Danio rerio: one gene and its partners. The protein of the gene in region 3 interacts with the protein of the main gene of each other region in a biochemical or structural test. Links are inferred from orthologs where the notes say so. Each region holds a gene or a part of one and is shown on either strand. Other genes may lie near its edges. The genes, in order: stat1b, kpnb1 and kpna1.

What was found.
Region 1: the proteins of kpna1 (region 3) and stat1b form a complex in vitro, tested with the Homo sapiens proteins (2 studies listed by BioGRID). The link is inferred for Danio rerio from reciprocal best matches to the Homo sapiens genes KPNA1 and STAT1.
Region 2: the proteins of kpna1 (region 3) and kpnb1 form a complex in vitro, tested with the Homo sapiens proteins (6 studies listed by BioGRID and IntAct, with this or other methods). The link is inferred for Danio rerio from reciprocal best matches to the Homo sapiens genes KPNA1 and KPNB1.

What each region holds. Positions count from the first base shown.
Region 1 is NC_133184.1:42,961,660-42,965,315, forward strand, and holds part of stat1b (signal transducer and activator of transcription 1b), read left to right. Parts: intron 1-201; coding exon 202-360; intron 361-521; coding exon 522-614; intron 615-751; coding exon 752-811; intron 812-1,580; coding exon 1,581-1,610; intron 1,611-1,976; coding exon 1,977-2,067; intron 2,068-2,176; coding exon 2,177-2,212; intron 2,213-3,088; coding exon 3,089-3,172; intron 3,173-3,261; coding exon 3,262-3,360; intron 3,361-3,454; coding exon 3,455-3,590; intron 3,591-3,656. UniProt on the Homo sapiens protein: Signal transducer and transcription activator that mediates cellular responses to interferons (IFNs), cytokine KITLG/SCF and other cytokines and other growth factors.
Region 2 is NC_133194.1:51,598,320-51,602,572, reverse strand, and holds the start of kpnb1 (importin subunit beta-1), read right to left. Parts: upstream 2,856-4,253; 5' UTR 2,704-2,855; coding exon 2,664-2,703; intron 2,036-2,663; coding exon 1,977-2,035; intron 1,761-1,976; coding exon 1,578-1,760; intron 1-1,577. Other genes in the region: si:ch1073-205c8.3 (NEDD8-conjugating enzyme Ubc12), read right to left, coding at 4,227-4,253.
Region 3 is NC_133199.1:24,830,421-24,834,076, reverse strand, and holds part of kpna1 (importin subunit alpha-5), read left to right. Parts: coding exon 1-64; intron 65-626; coding exon 627-740; intron 741-827; coding exon 828-927; intron 928-1,017; coding exon 1,018-1,112; intron 1,113-1,783; coding exon 1,784-1,915; intron 1,916-3,302; coding exon 3,303-3,391; intron 3,392-3,467; coding exon 3,468-3,567; intron 3,568-3,656. UniProt on the Homo sapiens protein: Functions in nuclear protein import as an adapter protein for nuclear receptor KPNB1. Binds specifically and directly to substrates containing either a simple or bipartite NLS motif.

The DNA of each region.
Region 1 (3,656 bases), on a different chromosome or scaffold from region 3:
TTTGTAAGTTGTAATTAATTACAAAATTAGCATTATTTATCAGACGATTATTACAGAAAGGCATTTATAATGAATTTACAAATTGTATGTGGGCATAGGATGGAGCTCCTTTTGGTTGTATTGCTCTTATTTTTACAGTATAGTATATTTATATACAGTATATACGTTTTATAAATAGTTAAAGCGTGACTTGTTCTCCAGGTTCACGGTGGTGGCAGAGTGTCTCCAGCAGATCCGTCAGCAGCTGAAGAAAGTTCAGGAACTGGTCCAGAAATTCACCTACAGCAACGACCCGCTAAATCTAGGAAGGGGCCAGCTGGATGAACAGGCCATTTCACTCTTCAAAAGCCTCATATTAAAGTGAGACACCACAGCTCATCATGAAAATGACTTCATATGTAGAACACACGCTTTAGTAAAAGAGGAAACCAACAGAAATTTGATTATATATTATGGCGTGTGTCAGATTTCAGTGTTGAACAGGCCGACAGTGTTTTGATCTTTCTTTGCGTGTCTTTTAGTTCTCTTGTGGTGGAGAGGCAGCCCTGTATGCCAACACATCCTCAGAGACCCTTGGTAATAAAAACAGGAGTTCAGTTCACCGTCAAGATCAGGTGGGTTTCTTTCATTATTAATGTTGCTTTTACTCATTTTAATTGATGGTTCTGAAGAAGAGCTTTTAATTCCAGTGATGCTTATTCAAAGTCAATCTTTAGTCTGATGTGCTATTTTATATTACATTATTTCATAGGTCACTAGTCAAACTCCCTGAACTGAATTGTCAACTGAAAGTGAAAGTTTTTATTGACAAGTAAGCTATATCTATCTATCTATCTATCTATCTATCTATCTATCTATCTATCTATCTATCTATCTATCTATCTATCTATCTATCTATCTATCTATCTATCTATCTATCTATCAATCTATCAATCTATCTATCTATCTATCTATCTATCTATCAATCTATCAATCTATCTATCTATCTATCTATCAATCTATCAATCTATCTATCTATCAATCTATCAATCTATCTATCTATCTATCTATCTATCTATCAATCTATCTATCTATCTATCTATCTATCTATCTATCTATCTATCTATCTATCTATCTATCTATCTATCTATCTATCTATCTATCTATCTATCTATCTATCTATCTATCTATCTATCTATCTACCTACCTACCTACCTACCTACCTACAGATCTATCTATCTATCTATCCATCCATCCATCCATCCATCCATCCATCTATCCATCTATCTATCTATCTATCTATCTATCTATCTATCTATCTATCTATCTATCTATCTATCTATCTATCTATCTATCTATCTATCTATCTATCTATCTATCTATCTATCTATCTATCTATCTATCTATCTATCTATCTACCTACCTACCTACCTACCTACCTACCTACCTACCTACCTACAGATCTATCTATCTATCTATCCATCCATCCATCCATCCATCCATCCATCCATCCATCCATCCATCCATCCATCCATCCATCCATCCATCCATCCATCCATCCATCTATCTATCTAATGGTTTTTATTGTTTTCCTCCTGTAGAAATTTAACAGAGAGGGACACAATAAAAGGGTAAGTAACATATTACACAGAATTTCAGAGAACAAATATGGTTTATTAATACTATGAAATTATATTTTGACTGAGACAGAGCATTTAGATATATAGCAAGGAGTCCAATGTAATATCTTGTGGCCCAGACAACATCCACAAAAACCTCTGCAACCCACAATTGAACAAGACTGCTATATTACTTAACTATACACACCATTTATCAATGTGATAAGACAACCGCACAAATACAACTGATAAATTATTCAGATAGTTTTGTTTGAATACATGTTTAAATAGTTTATCATTTGTATAGCACAATTATAATTTATGTACAGCATGACACCAGCTGAAATTATAACATTGTCTTATATTCTAATGTTCTAGAGGTAGAAAATTCAACATATTAGGGACGAATACTAAAGTTATGAACTTAGAAGAATCCAGTGGATGTCTAGCAGCTGAATTTCGTCATTTGGTATGATGTTAAAAAAACTACAGAATAAGACACAGCTGATTCATACACACATGATCATGTCAAATCCAAAACTTAATTGTTCCTCTTTCTTTTTCACTGTTTACTACAGCAATTAAAAGAAATGAAAACTAGCAGAACCAATGAGGTAGGTTAAAAAAACATGCACTTTAAAAAATATCTGTAAATGAGCAGTTTTCTGTATATTGTGGGGCTGCACGGTATTGAAAAAAAATTGACATTGCAACATTTAGGTTTTCTGCGTATATATTGCAATATGATTAAAATGTTCACCAAATGGTTTAATAACGTTATTTTGGAAAGAAATCTTGAATTTAGACTGATTGTAGTGATTTTGTAAGGATGTGAATCATGGATGAAAATTAATAAACAAATTGCAAGCAAAAAATAAATGCAAAAGAGCAATGAAAAACATAGAACTTTATGGTTTTCCAGAGAGTCAAACAGTATTTAGGTACAGAAATTGAATAATAAAATGTAATATCAATTGTAAAATAGCACTGCATAAACTTCATTATATTAATCATTCAGTTAAAAGTTACTAATGTCAGTTTGCTTTAAACTCTTTTGAAGTGAAGTTTATTTATAAAATTATTTTAAGAGGATCACGTTCTTATGATTGCTAGCGGCTGGTCCCGCATTATTCAATTTATGATTCACCAATCAGACGATTACAAAAACCTTGTAATAATCTGCCAGTACATTTTCTTCTATTTTACAGACTTATTTCCCAGAATTATGTTACTTCTTATACATTATATTATTTCAAACAATGTTAATAAAAGTCGCTTTATTAAACTGCAGAGTTGAATTTTCAACATCAAAAGTCGACAGAGCAGACATCAACATCCCATAATGGAATTCACAACCGTAAAAAAATGGCAAACACTAGTGAATAACAAAATATAAAAAAAAACTGTTAATTAACAGCTTTTAACTGTGTGCAATGATGTCAAATTAAGTGATAAAAGCATTAACAAATGTTTTTTTATATATATTTCAGACGCCTCTCATCGTTACAGAGGAGATGCACCTACTTAGCTTTGAAACTCAACTTATTCAGCCAGAGCTGAGTGTTGATTTATCGGTAAAGTGCTTTGAAAAGTTTCTACTCCAGTGCAAACACTTGATCAGACCAGTAATTCTAACCAGACCTGTTTGCTTCAATTTAAACAGATCATATCACTTCCTATTGTGGTGATCTCACATGTCAACCAGTTACCCAGTGCCTGGGGCTCAATCTTATGGTACAACATGCTCAGCGGTGAACCACATGTACGGGCCCATTTACAGTACCATCATCAACATTTTCCTCCTCCGCTAACGTCTCTATTCTGACTCACGCTCTTGATCTCGCTCTCTGTCTCAGAATCTGACGTTCTTCTTGAATCCGCCACCGGTGAAATGGGTTCAGCTTTCAAAGGTCATAAGCTGGCAGTTTTCTTCAGTCAGCAAACGAGCGCTGACCTCAGATCAGCTGAGAACAATAGCCGACAAACTTCTAGGTGAGATGACTCAATGATTTATACACTCAATTCAAGTCATCTTTAATTCTGTAGCGCTTTTTACCA
Region 2 (4,253 bases), on a different chromosome or scaffold from region 3:
AGCGCGCTCTATTGTGCAACTTCATTAATATTCATTACTGTCACCATGTTTACACGACAGAGACGCCACGTTGTGTTGGCAAAACAAGCGTGAAGTGTTGCTTTAATAGTTTGCTGCAGTGAAGTTTTGTTTTCATTTTCTCTCTGTGAGAGCGCAGCTGGACTCACGTGTGGATTAACAGTGTACGCGACGCTCGACAACAATAACTTACGTGTCTAAGGAGGATTATTGTTTACCTGAGAGCTGTTCTCATCTGCAAACGCTGAGATCCGGATTGTAGTCTCCTCTAAATAAAGACGCGGCTCTAGTTGCTGGTGATTGTCCTGTCTCTACAGGTTTGGTAAGTGAGCGACCAGCGCTCTTTGTTTATATCTAACAAACTATTGCACCGAGTGTAAACACGTTAGCACCACAACCAAACTTTACCCTCGTGTTGGATTTTGTGACCGCATTTAGTGACCGGAATAACACACGCGGCTTTCTGACACTACCTGCCGAGTGCATTTAAGTTTCCGGGAAATGCTGAGTTTTTTTTCTCTCATTCGCCGTGCGGGATCAAACATTACATGAAAAATACACGCTTAGAGCAGTTCCTCGAATCACATATCTCGTTTGTCGCGAGGGACATGAATGAATTCCCTGAATGAAAGAGCCAAACTGCAGTTAAAGTCCAGCATTTAATCATTTGGCAAATAATTCGACTACAGATGTGCATGTAGGTTAAACACCATCACTTTCTACTGTGTGTGTTTTGACTCTGAAACTCGCGCGTGCCCAAATAGACACTCCCACACCCTCCCACTTTAGTTCCTCCGACACTCCCCCCTAAACAGAGCTGGACACGCCCACTTTTCTGACTTTTTCCAGAGTAGAGGTGTGAAAACACCCTGCTGAAACGAGGGGGTCTCATGGCCCTTTAATAATGCAGGTGTTTCAGTCGGGCCTTAAACAGCACAGCTGAGCCCAGAGCTCAATTTACCCGCTCTACCACAGAGCTCCATTAAACCTCCACAGGCCTGTCTGCACAGCAGAAGAACAGCAGTGGCGGTGCACACACACACGCGCACACACACACACACACACACACACGATGCCTCCATCATGAACACGGCTGTCTGCAGGTGTAGTGTTCAGGTGCTGCGGTTTCCTGAATATTAAACTATAATCATCTGCAGTGATGTTCAGGAGAAACTGAGCGAAGTTTTTCACCACAGCTGATCATCACTGAACTCCTGCTGCTGTAAAGGCTGATCTCAGAACAGCAGAGTGACCGCCATGAGGACTTCAAGATGAATACTCAAGTTCCCCATGCTGACGCTCACATCAACATCACACACACACACACTCCAGCATGCTCCGTCAGTGATCAGGGGAAGCTGAGCGCTGCACTACTGTAAGTGAAAGTACTAAACTCCTGCAGATCCACATTCTACAGCTGGTCCAGCCCGTTTGAGCAAATACCGCCATCATTTAGGAGTGTGTGTCTGATCTCTGTGAACACACACTTTACCTTCCTGCATCCTGAAGATCTCTCTCTCTCTCTCTTACACACACACACACACACACAGCATCCTTACGTAGTTCTTGATCTCCCTGCGTGCGCTGGTGTCGATAGCCAGCCATCTCTGCTGGTACTGACTCTTCACTTCCGGGTCTTTAGAGGTCAAAGAGTTCTTGACCTGCAGGCCGGCGGCGACGCGAGCCACCTGTGTGTTCCCCGGGTTCGCCAACACCTTGGACAACTCCACCAGGAAGGTCGGCTGAGAAGCAGAACACAGAGTTACACACACACACACCTGTAGGAGAACCAGTGGTCTGCTGGAGCTGATCTCAGCACAGTACTGAGATCCACACACACAACAGAGTCCTGGTCCAGAAACAATTTACACACTATCAATTCAACACAGTAGTACAGTGTGTGTGTGTCTGTGAGACAGTTGATGTGTGTGTGTGTGTGTGTGTGTGTGCTTCATCACCAGGTTCTCGATGGCCGCCTGCTCCAGAAACTTCTGTGCCGCCTCCAGCTCATTCCGATCTGAAAATCAATCACAATCATCAGTCAATTCCCTGATCGATCGCTTGTGAAACTCTCCCGCCAAACGCGGAGCTGCGCGTCAGAACCGGGAAACTCCGCATCGCGCTCGGCCACAGCGCTTTACCGGGCTCCGAGCGGGAGGAGAGTCGGTGTAAACTAGACACGGCCGTACACGCGCGAACTTTCAGAGGCAGCGGCACAGGATGACTGAGTGCTAGCCATGCTAACACCTAGCCACTTCCTGACTAGCATGCTAACTGCTAACAACTTTACCAACAGAAGCGCGGGCGGGACAAACCCCACGGCGGCGCGACATGTGCGCGACCATGAAGTAGAGCCGTGTGTCGGTGTGTGAACTCTGATCATTAACACTCGTTACCGCGCAGAGACCGGACACACCGAGCAGGCCGGTAACCCGCTCCTGCTCTGGCGAGCCGAGGGTCCGGCTGCTGTTCGCCACTCGACGGGTGGAGATTAACGCGTCGCGTTCGCGGTTCAGCGACCGGGCCTGCGCTGCGTTAGCCGCCCGCTAACCGTCGCTCACACCCGGGGAAGCGGCTCAGCCCCGGTCATCACGCGGGAGAAACGGCATCCGTGCGCGGGAGAGGCGCGTGTGAGGATTGCTTACCTGGAGACACGGTCTTCTCGAGGATCGTGATCAGCTCCATCCTGTCGGGTCCGCGGGGGCAGAACGAGTGCAGTCGGTCGGTAAAGTCGGTCGGTCCACGCCTAATGCTGAAGCGCCGAGCCGTTCTCGCGGTTACCGCTTCTGCTCATCAGCCGCTGTCGCGAGGAAAAGGCCGCGCGGAACTCCCGCCCGCGGAACGATATCACGCGCTGACGTCACAGGTCCCGCCCACGCGCAGCATCATGACGCTCTGCTGCCTACTGAGGGAGCGTCTCGATAGTGTGGAGAACTGCGTTCATTACAAGAGCCCGTCAGACCGAGTGTGGGTCAGAAAGAGCAGATGATGAAGACACGGAGCGCACTGTTATCAGGGGTAGCGTGTGGTGTGATTCCCACGGCACACTGATTACTAGAGGAACAGCACCTTCAGGCGCAAAGTCATCATTACTCAGCACTTTGATGAAGTGAACTGCAGATGTGCACTATTATGACACACACTGAGGGCTCGTTATAGCTGTCCCAATCCCTCTGCAGAACACTACACACACAGGGAACAGGAAGCAGGTCTTCAGTGTACTTCAGCATAGTGTACTGCAGCCGTGATCATGAGCCCTTCAGCCTGAGGAACACTGATCACACACGAGCGGAGGAGAGTTCTAGAGCAGCTTCCTGTGCAGAAGCACACACACACACACACACACACACACACACACAACAGCGCTCCTGCTCAGTGTGCTCAGTTTATTATTGCTGTAGAAGAGGCAGTGTGTGAGATGGTGTGTGTGTGTCTGTGAGAAAGCGTGTGTGAGGTTGTGTTTGTGTGTGTGTATGAGACAGTTTGTGTGTGTGTGTGAGGCTGTAGTTGACACTCCTCCATCACTGTAGGCATTCAAGTCAATATTTTATTTAACATAATTCATATTGCAGTCATCGTGAACAACTGGGATTTAATATACACAACAGAATTGTAACATTACGCAACCCTCGCTAACCCGCCCCGTCCTGCAGACCCGCCCCCCCGCTCTCCAACAGCCAATCAGCACACATATCCCAGCGGCCGCCTGTGCACCGCCGGCGATCAATGCAGCGGCCATCAATTTATAAATGTGATCAGGAATTGGTCAAATGCAGCGCTAAACACAACCGATACTGAGAGAATCTGGCAGACAGAGACATGAGGACGACTGAACACGGCTGATGTGTGCGGCGCGGGGCAGCGGCCGTCTCAAGCCCAAACCAATCAGTCCTCAAGCTGGGTGATGGAATAGAGAAGTGTGTGTGAGTGTGTGTGTGTGTGTGTGTGTGTGTGTGTGTGTGTCTGCCCCGCGCACGCTCATGTTGAGTGGAGGATGAGTTAGCATGTGAATCTCAGCAAAAAATAAACAGTGGGTACCAGCATAGTGGCGAAATACGACTGAATTCTCTGAGCAACAACCACTGACCAGCCTGTGAACGCTCGCCACCGTCCCGCACACCCGAGAGCGGTCAGTGTGTCGGTCAGTACATCTCAGCGCATGTAAACGATAAATGCATTCTCGGACGTGAGGGCCGGCGGGCGCGGGACTATTTCAGGCAGCGCTCGAAGTAGGT
Region 3 (3,656 bases):
TGAGATGAGGAGGAGGAGGGAGGAAGAAGGCCTGCAACTTCGAAAACAAAAGAAAGATGAACAAGTAAGTCAAGTGGAGATAAGAGTGACTTGTTTTTCTGTTTTATTTGACTCTTGTGGTTTTACTAATAAAGATATTATTAAACTAGCCTTAAATTTATAGGAAGGATGGAATGAACTTTGAGACAATATAATGAAAAGAAATTTTTGTCTTTTTGAAAAAAAGTTTCTCACCAATCTGAATTTGTTTGATTAAAATTTATAAAAGTGTATTGTATATAGTGTAAAGTATTATATTCACTATTAACTATTACTGGGCTAGCATAAAATCATATTGTATCATATTTTTGTCATATTTAATGTTTTTAAATATTTTATTATTATTATTATTATTATTATTAGAAAAGTACATTCTACTGGACAACAATATTTCTGTTTCAATTTCATCAATTGAAGCTTTCATTTTGAAGAGTCGTGAAGATGCATGAGTGCTTGATTGTAAATAAAAAAATAAAATATATATTGAAAAATAAAATATATTTAAATAAAATTGCAAGTAAAGTGCACTCTTAAGAGAAGCTTTGGGGATAAAGTTTCAACTTTGACAAATTTGAACGTTCTTATAGCTGTTCAAGCGCAGAAATGTGGCCACAGTGGAGGAGGATGGAGCACTGGAAGATGATGGGATGTCTGACAGCGGATACCTGGAATCACAGGCCAACAATATGGACCAAATCACGGTAGTACAGCAAAAATGAAGGCTAGTCTTAGCTTTTTACTTACTGATGAAAAATTAATTGCCTTTTTTTGTTTTTCCATCGTTAAAGGGAAGTGTTATTTCTGAAGACATGATACAGATGATCTTCTCCAGCTCTCCAGAACAACAGCTCATAGGAACACAGCGCTTCAGAAAGCTCTTATCTAAAGGTGAAATACCCCAAAGACTAAAAATCAAGCATTTACATAATCAAATTAGTGCTAAATTATGCTAATTCTGTCTTTGTAACCCTCCATTAGAGCCTAATCCCCCTATTGATGAGGTTATTGCCACCCCTGGTGTCGTGGAGCGATTTGTTGAGTTCCTGAAAAGAAGAGAGAACTGCACACTACAGGTGATGGATATTTAAGGAATATTAAAATCCCAAGAGATTTTATATATTTCTTTTCTTTGGAAATATTAAAACAGTATGTTGCATCAAGAGAGAAAGACACATTATTTATGTAAGGTATTAAAAAGACAGCAGCCTAAGAAAGAAAATAAAAACTCTTTTGGAACTGTTCTGACTTTTGTTTTGTGAACTGAATCGTTTTCATTCCAAGAGCATGTAAAAAAAGTCAAAAACTCATTGCTGATGAGAAGGGGAGGTTTCATATCTTTAAATTTATGTAGAATTTATTTGATCTATTTAGAATCTCCGTGTTTATATGTTCATTATGAAGGGGCCTACTATTTTTGAAAATGCCCTGCTATATTTCATAATTCTTATTACATGTATCTGAAATAGTGTTTGCTGATTGTGAAATCTATATTCACTGAATCAAATCAAGATTTGTTTCACAAATTGAAAAAAAAAAAAACCTGCTAGACTGAAAACCCCAAGTCGCAGCAGTGAGCCAGTGAGTCATCCAGCATGAGTCTCTCCCAGCACATGCTCACACTCCTGGAATGTGTATATTCTGCAAGTCTTCTCTGAATCTTTATTTAATCCCATCAGCTCTTGAATGGTGCATTAGTGAACATTTTTGTGCAGAATGGTGACAGACGTCTTGTCTTTGTGTGCAGTTTGAAGCAGCGTGGGTTCTGACTAACATCGCCTCAGGAACATCCCACCAGACGCGTGTGGTCATCCAGGCTGGGGCAGTGCCCATTTTCATTGAGATGCTCAGCTCAGATTTTGAAGATGTACAGGAGCAAGTAAGCATCTCATACTATAGACATTTACAAGGGACTTTATAGGGCTGGGCAATTAAATGAAATTAAATTGCATATCTTATAAGGGCGCTCTCACAGATTCTCCAAACACCCCCCGATGAAGAAACCAGAAAATTCTCATAGGTTTTCATTTTAGCCTAAAGATTTAACTGCTTTGAATCAGCATGACTAATTAACACACGACTATGAAATCATCTCACAAAAGAATTTATTTCAAACACTCGACTGTTATAAAGTGTATTTGGAGTACAATAAAAGGCATTATTATATATAGAATTTTTCTGTGCCGCTCTATACAGAGCTGTAGTTCACCGAGAAGCTACACAAACAGCAGAACGATTATCTTAATGTCATTTTTATAAGGTTTATTCAATTTCTTGTCAATAAACTACAACTTGGTGTAGGGAATGCTGCTCCATCTGAAAGAAATCGTCCTGGAAGTTTTGCAGAAGCAGCTTTACTGACAAAATGCGCATTAAATCTTTCTTTAATCACCCAGCCCTAGGTTTTTACATACAAGCCCGAAATACTCAAACATGTTACAATAAAATCCTAAAAAGTAAACCTAGTCGTGATTCATCTGTAGGAGACAAAAGCAATTTATTCATTTACTATATACTATATAACTGCAGGTTAATTATGCTTATATATAAGCATATCTTATTTCTGTTAAAAGTTTTTAGTTACTAGTTAATTTAAGTAATCAGCAACTAATAAAGTTATGGTAACTATTAACCTTAACTTTTCTGATTTTGATTATTATGCAATAACATACACCTTTTGTAATGCTGCTTTGAAATAATGATTATTGTGAAAAGCACTATACAGTGTCCATACGATCCTGGAAAACCTGGAAAAGTCATGGAATTTTGTCAGGTCATTTTCCAGGTCCAGGAAAATTAATAAACCCAAAATGTTTTGGAAAAATCACGGAGATTTCTCCAAAAGATAATTTTCATACAGACATCAAGATATTTTCTAAAAACTGTTTCACTAATATAAAAATAAACATATTACATAGATTGTCACACATTTCTTGATATGGTGTAATAAATTTGAATGTGTGTTTTGTCTTATTTACCATGTGTATTTCATGACAGTAGGTCATAAATATTTACCTGAATGTTTTGGAAACTTCATGGAAAAGTCCTGGAATTTTAGTAGTTAAAATGTGTATGAACCCTGACTATACAAATAAACTTGAATTCAACTTAATTCGTTTTAGAAAATCATCACTGCATTTATACTTTAAAATTAATAAAAATAAAATATTTAGCTGCAAATGAAATGTTCAGTCTGTTCCAAGCTTTTTTGTATATTGAGAATTCATAGGACCTATGTAAGTTTGTGATTGTGTTTTTCTTTGCAGGCAGTGTGGGCTTTAGGTAATATCGCCGGTGACAGCACTGAATGCAGGGACTATGTTCTGGACTGCAATATTTTGCCCTCTCTAGTACAGTAAGTGATACTATCTTTTTTTTAGAGCACCCATATCTTTGAATGGCTGTTCTGATTGTGCTGATTTTTATTGCAGGTTATTGGCCAAACAAAATCGCCTGACTATGATGAGAAACGCAGTCTGGGCTCTGTCTAACCTGTGCAGAGGGAAAAATCCACCACCGGATTTTGCCAAGGTAAAAGTCTTGTTTTGATCTTAATAGATCTGTACAATACATTTTTTTAAACAATGCACAAGTAGTTTGCAAATTTAAAATAAATGTTA